2 linked regions of the Neodiprion lecontei genome follow. Each later gene encodes a partner of the first gene's protein in a complex. Links are inferred from orthologs where the notes say so. Each region holds a gene or a part of one and is shown on either strand. Other genes may lie near its edges.

What was found. The genes of interacting proteins can lie anywhere in the genome.
Region 2: the proteins of protein lin-9 homolog (region 1) and protein lin-37 homolog are in contact, whole or in part, in a crystal structure (PDB 7N40), measured with the Homo sapiens proteins. The link is inferred for Neodiprion lecontei from reciprocal best matches to the Homo sapiens genes LIN9 and LIN37. Residues at the interface, in NP_001353174.1 of Homo sapiens: Lys99, Ala101, Ser102, Gln103, Lys104, Ile105, Gly106, Arg108, Leu109, Arg110, Leu112, Leu113, Lys114, His119, Trp121, Cys122, Ile123, Glu125, Trp126, Phe127, Thr227, Leu237, Phe238, Leu272, Ser273, Asn274; in NP_061977.1 of Homo sapiens: Tyr95, Ile97, Leu99, Phe100, Asp101, Arg102, Val104, Leu106, Ala107, Phe109, Ser110, Glu111, Asn112, Thr113, Pro114, Leu115, Tyr116, Ile118, Cys119, Arg120, Trp122, Met123, Asn125.

The regions. Positions count from the first base shown.
Region 1 is NC_060265.1:9,410,995-9,419,134, forward strand, and holds protein lin-9 homolog, read right to left. Parts: upstream 6,079-8,140; 5' UTR 6,008-6,078; coding exon 5,926-6,007; intron 5,879-5,925; exon of another isoform or gene 5,576-5,878; intron 5,302-5,575; exon of another isoform or gene 5,164-5,301; intron 4,640-5,163; coding exon 4,297-4,639; intron 4,197-4,296; coding exon 3,894-4,196; intron 3,599-3,893; coding exon 3,181-3,598; intron 3,093-3,180; coding exon 2,743-3,092; intron 2,668-2,742; coding exon 2,421-2,667; intron 2,291-2,420; coding exon 2,105-2,290; intron 1,898-2,104; coding exon 1,733-1,897; 3' UTR 159-1,732; downstream 1-158. UniProt on the Homo sapiens protein: Acts as a tumor suppressor. Inhibits DNA synthesis. Its ability to inhibit oncogenic transformation is mediated through its association with RB1. Plays a role in the expression of genes required for the G1/S transition.
Region 2 is NC_060262.1:22,748,435-22,753,454, forward strand, and holds the start of protein lin-37 homolog, read left to right. Parts: upstream 1-1,637; 5' UTR 1,638-1,689; coding exon of another isoform or gene 1,690-1,704; 5' UTR 1,705-1,713; coding exon 1,714-1,746; intron 1,747-1,860; exon of another isoform or gene 1,861-4,120; coding exon of another isoform or gene 4,121-4,183; intron 4,184-4,304; coding exon of another isoform or gene 4,305-4,373; intron 4,374-4,465; coding exon of another isoform or gene 4,466-4,681; intron 4,682-4,862; coding exon of another isoform or gene 4,863-5,020. Other genes in the region: fork head domain-containing protein FD2-like, read left to right, coding at 149-445; GDP-mannose 4,6 dehydratase, read right to left, coding at 4,121-4,183, 4,305-4,373, 4,466-4,681, 4,863-5,020.

The sequences.
Region 1 (8,140 bases):
TCATTACAGGAATACTCCCTGTTCACCTCATTTGATTTTAGAAAGAATAAAAGCCACTTTTATATATGAGATCGTTTAGTCTTGGTATTATAAATACTGCAAAAAAAATTTTACCGACACTTCCTCCAAATTGTTACTGTAGATAAGAAATTTTTTTAAGTGGCGATAAGAAATAGTAACTTACTTAAGTTATCAGAGACAGAAAATGAATCTATGTAAAATGGATTCTATGCTCTATTATCGACAATAGTGTCGTATCGTGGGTGATGACGTGTTAACGTAAATGCAAATGGATCTAGTAATGCATGTGACCGAACATTACAACGTCTGTATCTGTTAGTACTAATCGAAAATATAATTAACTCTTTCAGACAGATGAGTAACCAACGATGATACGCGACCGTCAGTTGAACAAAAATTGAAACGAATAAACTCTCATCATTGACCAGTAATACATCGGATATTCAAAATACTTTAGGTCAACTTTTTTGTATTAAAGTCTTAGATGCGCGTTGCTGTGAATTTATTATTAGCCTTTATTCCGTAAAATTTTACTTTTTACTTGTGTTGAAATAAATATTACGGGAATAAAATGAATTATAGTGAGTTTCCACGATACTTTGATACGAATAAAAGTACACTGTTACATAATCCCCATGTTAAATAATTAACTGTATATAAATAAAGCATCTGAAATTATACCGCTACATGTAGTTGAATTACATTGAGTATCCTTTCCCTCAAAAAGCAACAATTCAGGGATATATAAATCTGTTTAGAACGTCTCCATCTCAAATTATGTTTCATCTATTATTTTAGATACAATTTATAGCGCCTGTATAATATATGCAACTCGTAATATTCTACATTTCCTCATACCTTTTAATTTCCGTAAAATATTAATTTCTCCATTTATTATTAGGGTATGAACGTGTATAATAGTAATTAAATATTTTCAATCGTCTCAAGTATTCAACACAACATTCTTCTAGTTACAATTTTTTCATAATATTTTTCTTTTACTATTTAATATTATTACTAAATGTTTTAATCCTAAGATATATATTTGTAATTGTAAGTAAATACATAATTATTTTCAACGCAAGTATTAACTGTGTAATTGAACGTTAGCAGTGGTGCAGAAATACGGACGAAAAAAAAAAAAGATCTTTTCTATTTTTACCGAAGTGATGCATACAAAATTTTGCAACGGGCAACAATGTTTGCCATTGCATTTATCACACCACTTTACACCTCTATAAAGTACACAATAAGATACTAGATATATTATGTAGACATTTAATTCAAAGTAAATGACTTGAGTAAAAATTTTTGCTGATAATGTCAAGAAAATATTGATTATTGCAGAAAGATCAGAAGAATCATTCCGTGTAAGGTGTAGACAATGCTTACACCACGTTAGTTCAAAATTCATTACCATTTCTAACTGCAATTCCTCGTACTTCTTGTCTTTTTATAAAACAAAAAACAAAATGTAGATATAATGTATGAACTATGAGTATGCCTGATGAACGATGAAGGAGTCTATACAATTGGATAGTAAAGATTGATTCACATCATACAACACGGGCTGTAACAAAACTATCTATTAATAAAAATTTTCTTCGTACTTCATCAATTGTTTAAATCAAACGTATCCAATGTGTGTCGTTTCTTGATTTTGTATTAAATATTCATTGCACCTATATTCGTAGACATATTTTAGCTTTCACTACATGTTCTCGTCAAGAAGTAATTCCATAACAGCCAAATCGCTGACGCTTAGAGATTTGGCCATTGATCCTCCTGTGATTAACTGCTGCTTAGTGGGTGCTTGTTCCGTAGGAATGCCGTGGAAATTCCGATAAATGTTCGTTCCAGGTCGTACTGGTCCATGCTGGATAGCGTGAATCAACTTTTAGTTGAACAGTGACGACAGGCGCACATCAAATCATTACAGTAAGTAGAAGCGTGCAAGTGTAGTACAACTATTATTTTCCTCGAATAAATTCTCATTAGATTACAGAATACTCTTGCACGCGTCTGAAAATTACTGCCTGCCATTCATTAAGAGTATGATGATTCAACAAAGTTAATACTAAACTTTTTGAGACATAAATGGCGTTAAAGCCCCTATTTTTCCCAAACCAAGTTGAATATGCTGCATATGAATTTCAACGCAGTTTTGAAACACTTGTTGATTTTGAGGACTCAGTTTCGATCTAATTTGCTCCATGGTTCCTTGAAGTACTTTCAATTCATAGGCATTTCGATCAGAATCCGACAAGCTCTGTGAAAAGAATTGGATATTATGACTTTTGGAAAGAAATCTGCATTTCTTTGCTGGAATTCTACGTATTGGGAGAATTTGAGGAAGATTTTGTTGTGAAAAGTGGAGTAAAACTAGGAACAAGATTTACCTTTACTTGAAGCATGAGAGCAGTGAGGTCTGTGACAAGTTCGCTCATCTTTGCTGGTGCCCTATCGTTAATGACATCATTTCTAGCAACCATATCGGCCGCTTCTTGATGGCACTTTTCCCGCAAATGAGAAGGAGCCAGCATAGCAGCAACGCTTGGTTCCGGAGCCATTTCTTGACATAACTCTTGTACGTCGTTCAAGAAATCTTGAAGCGCTACATTCATCTTTTCAAGTTCAACTACTATCCTGTAATCACAAAGAAATTTTATTTTTAATCCGTTCGTTGTTTCTATTCAATACATTACTAAGCAAAATTCTTACCCTGCATATTTTCTCTCAAAGTCAGCTGGCAAAGGCTCACCGAAAGACCGTCTCTTTTCCGCCTCACTGTTCATTTCCTTCAGTTTCTTTATCTTGATTTTCTTTGCCGCTAATATTTTGTCAACTTTTACCATAAACTCTAACAGTTTTAAGGGATAGCCATTCATCGTACCACCGATATGCGATTTTTTTGGGAGTGATACGGAGGCGTTGGATATTAAAGGGTCATTATTTAATCTGGGTGACATTAATTTCATTGCATAGGGAGGTGATGGCACATATTGCACCATCCGAGGTCTAAACTTTTGCGCGAACGAAGCTACACTAATGGTTTCTGGTGGTTCGTTTGACTGAAAACAAATAAAGGTTATTGAAATAAGTCAAATGAAGATGATCAACAGGCACTAAACAGTGAATATGGCTCAATTATTCAATTACCAGAACTTCAAAATCAGGCACACTGTGAGTTCCAAGACCCGCTCTTTCAAAGGTAATTCTGTAGGTGTTGTTGCTGGTATCGACTGCATCGATACTACCAGTGAAAAGGCCATCTTGTGGCTTTCGTAATCTTGCTGTAACTTTCGTTCCAATAACAAGTTGTAAAGGAATTTCAGGAGGCAGGTCCTTAAAGCTACTTATATCGGCCGTTTTTCTCTGCTGGAGCATACGAATTTTTTGTCTCTTCCTCTCTAACTCTCGTCTTTCCTCTTCAAAAAATGATTGGGAGCACCGTCTTGGCTTTCCCATCATTCTTCGTATTTTACACCATTCTACGCGTGTCAACTTTCGTGTTTTTAGCTGCGGAAAAGACTCCTTCAAACAAATCATAAAGTCGTTGTCACCATCAAAGAGCGTTCTGGAAGAAGAAAAATAGTACTTATCTAATTGCCCATTTTGAGAAAAAAAATTTCAATTGATAGAGTGTGTTAATCAATGTATGATTAACATTTGTACCAGAATTTGAATATCGATGCATTACTCAGATCGTTGACTAGAGATATGTATATCTTCAGTCAATGCTCAGATTATGTCCTATGGAAAGTGATGTAATGAAAACTACAGAATACTATTATTTTTCCTTGAATAAGGAAAAGACCCTCGGTGAAATCTTTCAAAAAAGTATTACAGATTACTTCAGGTACATTACTCACTTGTCAATGTTACTGTAGAACCATTCATAGCAGACCCATTTATGTGCTTTGGGTAATTTCAGCAGGTTTCTCAGTCTCATACCAATCTTCTGTCCAATTTTTCGGTCAGGAGATGCTGGTTGTGCCGGCTTTTCTGGCTCCTTTTCCTGTTTTATAGGTGTAGTAACTGGCGTCGATGGCTGCGACGGCGTACCCGTACTTCTCTTCGACTCACTGACATGTCTATTCTGTTTTTTAGCTGGGGATGGCCGTGGTATTCTTTTAGGAGAATGTTTCATTTCCAAATTGGGATCCTTTTTAATTCTAAAATACACATTAGAAGCACAAATCAAATCAGGCCTTAGAATTTTATCGGTACTTCGTCTGTTTACTAAAAACACATAAACATTAACTTCTAATCTACCTATGATGTGGATGGTTGACGAGAATGTCATCGTAGAACAATTTATTCTTTTTTCTGATCCTCGCAGGCATTCCTCGGCGATTCAATACTTGAATTGGTTGGGTTGGGGGATTGGGTTTTGGTGGCGGCTGCGTTCCAACCCTTTGCAGCCCCAAAGCCGCAGGCCCCAACTCAGGCATAGGTTCAGAATCTTCAGGATCCATATTTGAATCATCCATAGAATTATTCCAATGTGACTGGTCTTCGAGATCCATCAGGTCATCGTCGAAAGCTTCCTTTTTAATTTCATTGGCCAATGGGTAGCCACCGTTTTTAATCGACAGCAAGGTTTCCGCTGATTCATCTGAAATGAAAATGTGATTTGGTTAAGTATATTTACCAAACTATCTGAAAAATATAATTTGACAATAAAAGATGATTCTTCATCGCACCATATCAATATTTAAGAGGAGAAATGTAACATATCCGATAAGTAAGTTAAACCGTCAAAGATTGTACGTACACATATGTAAGCCAAAAGGTTGACCAGTTAATATCTATCAAACCTAATGCAAACTAATCATTTAACCTAATCCCAACATTCGGGATTTGCAAACGTGGTTTCACATCATTTGGCGTTTAAATATACTAGAATTTTTCCATGTTTATGGAACACAAAATTCAACCAGTAATCTTACATTAACTAATGGAAAACAAAACCTGTCCTTGCACTGATTGCGCGTCGTAGCGTTATGATTAACGTTTGTTTATTTACTACTTTGTATACAACCTGCTTGGTTGCGATGACTTTTGAATGATATAAATCAAGTGATTCAATCACTATTTCAAAAGTGTTGACAGACAGATACACATAAATCTTGTACTTACCTTATATAAGTATTTATATACCTTAAGTACTTAACACACAGCCTTGAAATGTACAAGTAAAAATACAAAATATGGATTCGCATGCAGATAAGTTACGATATGAGGCCAGTGATATGTCGAGTAAAGTTTTATCGAAAGCTATAATTTGAAAAATTATTGTTTTTAAATATAATTAGCATTATTTGAAGTAAGCCACACTTGGATAAGTGAGTTTTTGAAAGATTCGACGTCTTGAATGTTCGGAATTATTGCTAAAAATTATTAGAGAGTTTCCTCGTGTTAGAATTGAATGAAATTTAACCTTTGCTAGTTTGTCTACAATTTTGAGGTATCTACAAATGCGAGTGGGCTAAACTGGGCTAAACATAACCAATCTCTGGGAGCAACGTGTGTAAACATAGCGTGTCCGCACCTGTAAGTATTTTGCTTAATGAAATGTCAAGAATGTTGTTATACACCGTTAGTGGAATTCAAGGATTTGGCGTTTTAGAGTCCAGTCAACTAATTCCGCGAAACCAAATTTGTTCCTCGGAGGGCTCGTCATCCCGCTTGAATTCTGCATTGGTCATTTTTGAAATTTTGAACCCATCGTCGCCGTGCCTGTTTCAAACGTTAACTACAAACTCAATTTTAACTGAAATCCGTGCAACTGTGGCCTATATTATTATCACATAAGCCTAGATTACTATTATTACTATGCATTTGTACTTTGTTCGACTTGAACGACTTAATTTTAGGAAAAAATATGAAAATTTCACTCACTTTCAATAGTGTCCGCCATGTTGACGTACGCCAATGCATGCTGGGTACGTATTTCCGCCAAATCACCCCCACTACAATTCATAGCCCGATTCCGTCCGTTCCGCCAGTTCACCGCCACCAAATGCCGAGAGGGACGATTCGATTTGAAACTTCAAACACGAAGCTGGGTTCGTGGCTTCACAGCGCTTCGAAACTTGAATCAAACGCCATCAAATATATAAACTTCAAAGTACGGATACCGACGTGTTTCTCTTCCACATTACAAATTATTTAGCAAAAGACAGGCCACAACGATGAGAAACACGTGGTTTTTGTTGGGAATGTTTTTGTACATTAAAGTGGCAAAAAATGTTGATATAAGACCTGATATTATTAAGCACTGTAGAGATAAAGATCGATTAATCGGATCTGAAGAAAATGACTTATATTTACTGGTTGACGCTGAGGTAGATACGACAATTTTACTGGAATGCCATTACTGGTGAGCGGGAAATATAACAAGTTAAAGATCACTTTTATCGACAGGTTCAAATGCTTTACGATATTGATAATTACATAACATTTGAGACGAAACAATACTTTTCTGACAACAATTTTAGTAACGAAAAGGATGATCAGGTACCGAAGATTTGGTACTTACAAGACCGTTACCAGTCTACTACAGAAGCGGAAATCTCTTGGGGAATGGAGAATAATATGAGCTACAACAGGATTCACGTTACTCCGGAATTATCATTGGTTATCAAAGATTTCGAGGCTAAGGATGCAGGACTGTACAAGTGCCACGGATCTAATGGCCAGGAAGTAGAATCGAAATATAACTACAGATTAGAACGTTAGTCGTGCTAATTTGAGAAATATAAATCTAATCTGATGAAAAATAGGAGACTTTGCTGGGGATGTCATATTAGTACAATCAGTCGACTTCTTGCATTCCACATCAGTGCAAAAAAATCTTTTCAGCTGTACTCAAGAACACGGCAGGAATCTATAGACAAACTGGAAATCTGTCAGACTGGGTGTCTTATCACGAAATAAATTTAGCACCAGTTTCTCTACGCTTTGCTGTATAAGTTATAATTTCATGTAATAAATTAGATTTTTAATCGATCTGTTACTAAATTGAGACCTTTGGGACATCATTCGAAAAATTAACTTATTTTATCAATTAACTAAGTTCCAATTGTGAAAGTAAATATAAGAAAATGCAAGTCACCTTCGAATTAATCAATAAGTAATGTGATCGAGTAAAGGATGTAAATTTTCACTCTCAGGTTTCCCGGATGCCGGGTCTAATTGATATCCGAAAAATGGGTATAAAGCTGGAAATCGTCTCTGAATGGGGTCCCTGGAGTCCTTGCGAGCGATGCGTTCGTAAACGTGGCTATAGGACGAGAGTTGGTATGTGCAGAGTCAAGCGGACCATAAATGATGTAACGGGAGATCAACGAACATTGGAAATTTCAAGCGAATCGACCCATAATACGTCGGGGAAAATGCCACATGATAGAAAGCGAGGCGAAGGTGTGCCCACGTTATTTTTGAAGACGCCCATGTGGCCGTGTCGGTGAGAATAATTTCGAGTCAGTTTTAAGTTAACCACTGAGAAAAGAATAACGAACTGCAGTGGGAAAAGAAATTCGTGCGATCTCGTTACACGCAGCGTGCATCGTTCAGATTCATTGAATTCAACGAGCCATGTACAGATTGGTATATTGTTTTGTGCATTTTGATTATTAACGCAACAACGAACTTTCTTTACTACAGTTTTGTTCGCAGATGTAAAAACAGGAAAAATTGCAGTTTCTTTCTTCATTTTTCAAATCTTCTTCACCCATTTTTATGACAGTGACTTGATAAACTTTTACGCAAAAATTCATACCATAATCATTTTTCAGCTCCAAGGAATTGTACGATGAATATCCTGAAATTGGTACAGCGACAAAAGACTTGCCAGAATTTATACAGCAAGAAAAATGTAAGAAATGTTCACGATTCAAAAAACATAAGCGGCATAAATTCAGGTACAAGAAGAGATACGTTTTGGCAGAGGATGCTCACCTGACGATTACTTGCCCCGAGTAACGAGAAAATAAATAAATGACTAACAATTTTTCGCATATTATTAAAAAAAAATTGCAGATTAAAATTTATGAATTTAATATAAGGTTTAATTATATTTGATACATATTGTTCGTATCAACGACTGTTAATC
Region 2 (5,020 bases), on another chromosome or scaffold:
GTTGTATTATGTTTGCCAATATATCAGACAGAAAACATCGATCGAAGCGAGCAACGCTCGGGGGTACAATTTGAATTCTGAAAAATTGCAAAGCTGTACGCGAATAATACTCGATACATGAAATTGCTGAACAAATGTTTGTTCGCAGATGAGTCCCGACTTTCTGGTACCGACGTCGACTAGCCGTCTTCAAGAACATTTCGCACCAGAACAAAACTGTAGCGAAGCGCCGCGAAACGTTGCATCAACGTTTGATCAAGATGCGAGAAGAAGAGACGAAACAAAGTATACCAGCCCTCCGGAACGATGCATCAAGTCGACGATGTTCACGATCGACAACATCCTGAGAAAGTCACCGGCGCCAATTGTCTCCAAGGCGACTTCAGTGACGAATGAACTCATAGAAGATATAAAAATCGACGATAAAAACTTTTCTCTGCGGTAGGTGCGGAAGAAGAAACGGAATGACGTAATATCTTCTCAACCTGCGGACACCGATTATTATCTATTATTTATAAAATTCAAGAATTTTACTAGGAATTTGTCAATCTTCGAATTCTTATCGTCCAGGTATAAATACTACGGTAAGGAATTGTATGCAAATTTCTGAGGTATCCGCTTTGTGCTGATGGATATGATCGCACACAAATGTAGTGATGTATGCTTTCGTATATCAATTTGCATACGCTTATACGCGATCGGAGACAATCTGACCTAAAATATGTAATTTTACATCATCGCTGCATTTTTATAATGAGAATTAATTCGCAATTATCACTGCGATTGAAATTCTTGCAAATTCGTTTGTCCGAAAATTGACGTGTAGAATTTCGTTAAAGTTTGCCATCGTGCCTACTTTTCGTAAGAAAATATCCCGCAATCGTTCTTGCAAAAAAGAAAAAATCATGGAAAATATGCGCGAGAATTTTATTAAAATGTCAGAACTGGGAATGAAATGATTGTAGGAAAAATGTCTGAGGATCATATCGCCTTCAAATGAATATTAAATCTTATTTATTGTATCAGAGGTTTTATTAAAATCATAATCACACGTCTCACCGAAATGTCAACATACATTGTTTACGATTCATGAACACATCCATAGCTTATCGTCCATAAATTATCACCGAAATGAAAGAATATCTGGGTTTATAATCGAGGACAAAAAAAAAAAATATATATACCCGTACAAATATATCTCACAGCTAGGAAAAGCATCACTGGAATAAATATTCCTTCGTTTTTATAGGGTTATACGTGAAATATTGTTATTTGGCGCAGAAATGTGATTGTAACTAGCACACAATACCCACCGTGAAATAACATCGCTAGGCGAAAACGGTATAACGTTTGCAGTGGATAAAACTCGCGGTTATATACATGTGCGCGGTGGTGTTTAGGGATTATTTAACGACTGTTGCGATCACACATGCCAATGTTTGTTTCTTCAAAGGCGCAGTTCGAATGTTAAATTTCAAAACAAAAGTAGTTGAACGTCAACATGATTTTCTCGGAAATTCAATAAATCACGCACATCACAGCCTATTCGCCGTGGCAGGGAAGCCGTGCCACATCTCTATCGCTCTCTCTTGATGTGGATTTAACCGCTTAACTGCCAACATTCTGCCACGACGCACCGCCAGAGTTCTCTTCGCACTTTCCTCGTTGCTGGAATAATCCGGGCGTACATCACAGGCGTCGTCGCTGTACAAGATGCAGATAATTACCGGAAGCGAGAATTATTCGGTAATATTGAACAGAGATTGTTATTTTTTTTTTTGTAGCTGTCAAATGTTTTTACATGGATAATATTAGATTACACTCGATAAATCTGGGGTTGGAATGATTCGTAACGAAAAATGCTTTTTACAAACATATATTTGGCATTTTAGCGACAACGTCGAAAAAGGTTCAAAAAGTTTTAAACTTATGAAATTCGAATTTTATACAAGCATTTTATTAAAACCGTAAAACGAACTCCAAAGATTTGGACTATCTGGAATATCTAAATTTTATAGATAAATTATTTTGCATATATAATACTTAGTTTTTAATGGAATAACATTTTTTCCTAAATGTATACCTACAATGCTTTTGTGCTAAAATAAATCCTTAGAAAACGATACCACCCAAATGTATGACTTCATCAAAATTTAACACACCCCTTTGACAAAACCCTTGCATAACGTCAATTAACACCGGTAATATTTCTAAACAGAGAAAAACAAACTGTTGATACAGGCATCCCTCGATTAAATCCTTATATGCACTTTGATCGTAATAAATTGTAACAAGTGCAGTAAAACTTACATATCAAATTCTCACATGTACGACAATTTTGGTGCCTATAACTTATTTGACTTATGCTTTCCTCGGTGTAATATCTACAACAATGTTCACAGTAATAGAAAAAATGATAATTGTGTCTACTTTTTACATATAGAACATTCACTCACGATCTTTTATGAATTCACATTCACATCCTAAGTTCCATGAAATTTGAATTTCCGAAAGTTAGGTGTCATATATATCAAAATATAAATTTTTCTCTATATTTATATCTCAAGTATTCATAGTAATTTCATCGTTTGCCTACAATCGAGAAGAAACTATAAATATTTTTTCGGAATTGTTTATTTACCGTTAGAATGGATTAGTGAAATGAATTTGACCTGTTGCAGCGTTTACTACCCTTATAGGAAGGTAACAAAATCTGATCAATCTTAATGTTGAAATCACTACTTAGAAAAATAATGAAGCCTCATATATACATTAGTGTGCAATAAACAAAATTTTATTTCTTTCATTGTTTCCCATGTAAAAAATGAATGAAACGACGCTTCTTATAATACATGAAAGCACTGATTTTTTATATGGGAAATGATAACAGAAAAAAAAACATTTATTTGGCACACCCTAATGTACATATGTATATATATTCTTTGAAGGTAAAATAGTTGCAATGACTCTTGCTGGTCTATACAAATTATACTTGTTTCTAAACTCCCTAATGATGAAAAAAAATATATGCGATGAATACTTTACAAATACAGCTAATCGCTGTTACACATCACACTGTATCTGAATTTTTTTCAGACTGCAAATGCAAGCACTTATCTTGACGAAATTTGACATGCATGTTCTTTATTGTTAATAAATTAGTTTCCGATATAAGGCTCCGCGTATACATAATGAATTTAATTTATACATGAAAACTGTCAGTCATCGAAATTTGCTACTATGAAAAATTCCAAATATAGTAGACTTTAGAAGCAACGTGGTGTCGGACAAACTTGTTGGATTGGGGCGGGGGCAGGCTCCATTCTATTTACTCAATATCTCTATAACTGCGCGGCCATTTTATCAGGTTCAAGCTGTACCTTTCAGAGGGCTCAAAATCGTTGATTCGAAATTCTAAATAATTACCTGGTGAACTGTTTATCATAATGATTTAAAAGCACAAGAAAGAATTGGATTGTAAATTGTTAGGATTATACAGTGAGATCAAACCCACAAACAATATCGAATTAAGTTTTCATGGAAGCCATTTAGTAGAGATTCGTGGAAACCTAATACGATAGTGCTGGTTCGTTTCATTTTCGAGTATAATTATAGCAAAAAATAATACAATTTCTTCTGGTAATTTTCAACAATTATAATAAACAGTTTACCACTTCTTTATTTCAAGCTTCAAGTGCGGGAAATTTCTACGCATTACTTCGTTCAGGGAGTTCAAAATGACACGTAAATTTCACAAAGCTTAAGCAAAATAATGATAAAAGATGTTACGTTTTGGTTAAACAGCTCATGGGAGGAAGTTTCGGTGGATTGTGTCGAAAAATCATGCACTCTCCGGATATTTTTTGCCAAATACATGACTTCTCAGAGTTTTGAGCATGGTGTCTGTTTTTACCGTACTGTGCAGCGTTATTCGACTCTCGCGATCACGAACATTTAGTCAAGAGACCACGTTTCTGTCAAATCACGGATTACTTTTGCGTTACTCTGTAAATATGCCTTTAATCATTCTTCACACCGCTCTAGTATCTAAGTATCTATACTCCTGACAAGTTAAAGTGGTATAAATGCAGAAATTTCATCGAAGCAGTAACGGCCGCAGCTAAGCATTCGGATTTTTGCGCATCAGTTCGAGATCAGCTTTCATCATATCCTTCACCAGTTCCTATATGAAAGTGAATTTTCCAAAAAGTTTAATTCTGATTGGTAATTTTCAGTACTGGCTAAGCTGGTGACAGCTCGAAATGTTCCAATGATAAATCAGAATAACTTATTCAAATACATACTTCGAATTTAACTGTGGGCTGCCATCCAAACTTTTCTTTGGCTTTTGAAGCATCACCCAGCAGTAAGTCCTGCGTTATGAATCAAGATGGAACATTTTAGAATAGATGTTAAATGCTCAATATTTACTTAATATCTTGGTGATGGAAATAAGGATTCTTACCACTTCGGTTGGACGGAAGTATTTTGGATTAACCCGAACCAGGAGCTGCCCAGAAGCAGCATCGCGACCAATTTCGTTGACACCCTCGCCCTCCCATTTAATAGTTCGACCAATGTAATTAAATGAGGCTTCAACAAACTCTCTGACACTGTGAGTTTCACCAGTTGCTATAACAAAGTCATCTGCGACCGACTGTTGTAGCATCAGCCACATTGCCTGAGAATTGTTAATTGTAAAACAATTTTTAAATTCTTATTGAAAAATCGTCAAGAATTACTCTGTAGTTTAGATCCGAGTGTACAAAATTCCAAACGCAATAACATTTCCGGCATTTATAATTGTCGTTTAAAATTAGAGGAAATTTGGAAAACTTGTTGAAAAATACATAGTCATTTACCTCGACATAATCTTTAGCATGTCCCCAGTCTCGTTGGGAATCCAAGTTCCCGAGTTCCAAGACTTCTTGCAAACCCAGTTCTATTTTTGCAGCAGATCTGGTAATTTTTCGCGTCACAAAATTTTCCCCTCTTCTCGGACTTTCGTGATTAAATAATA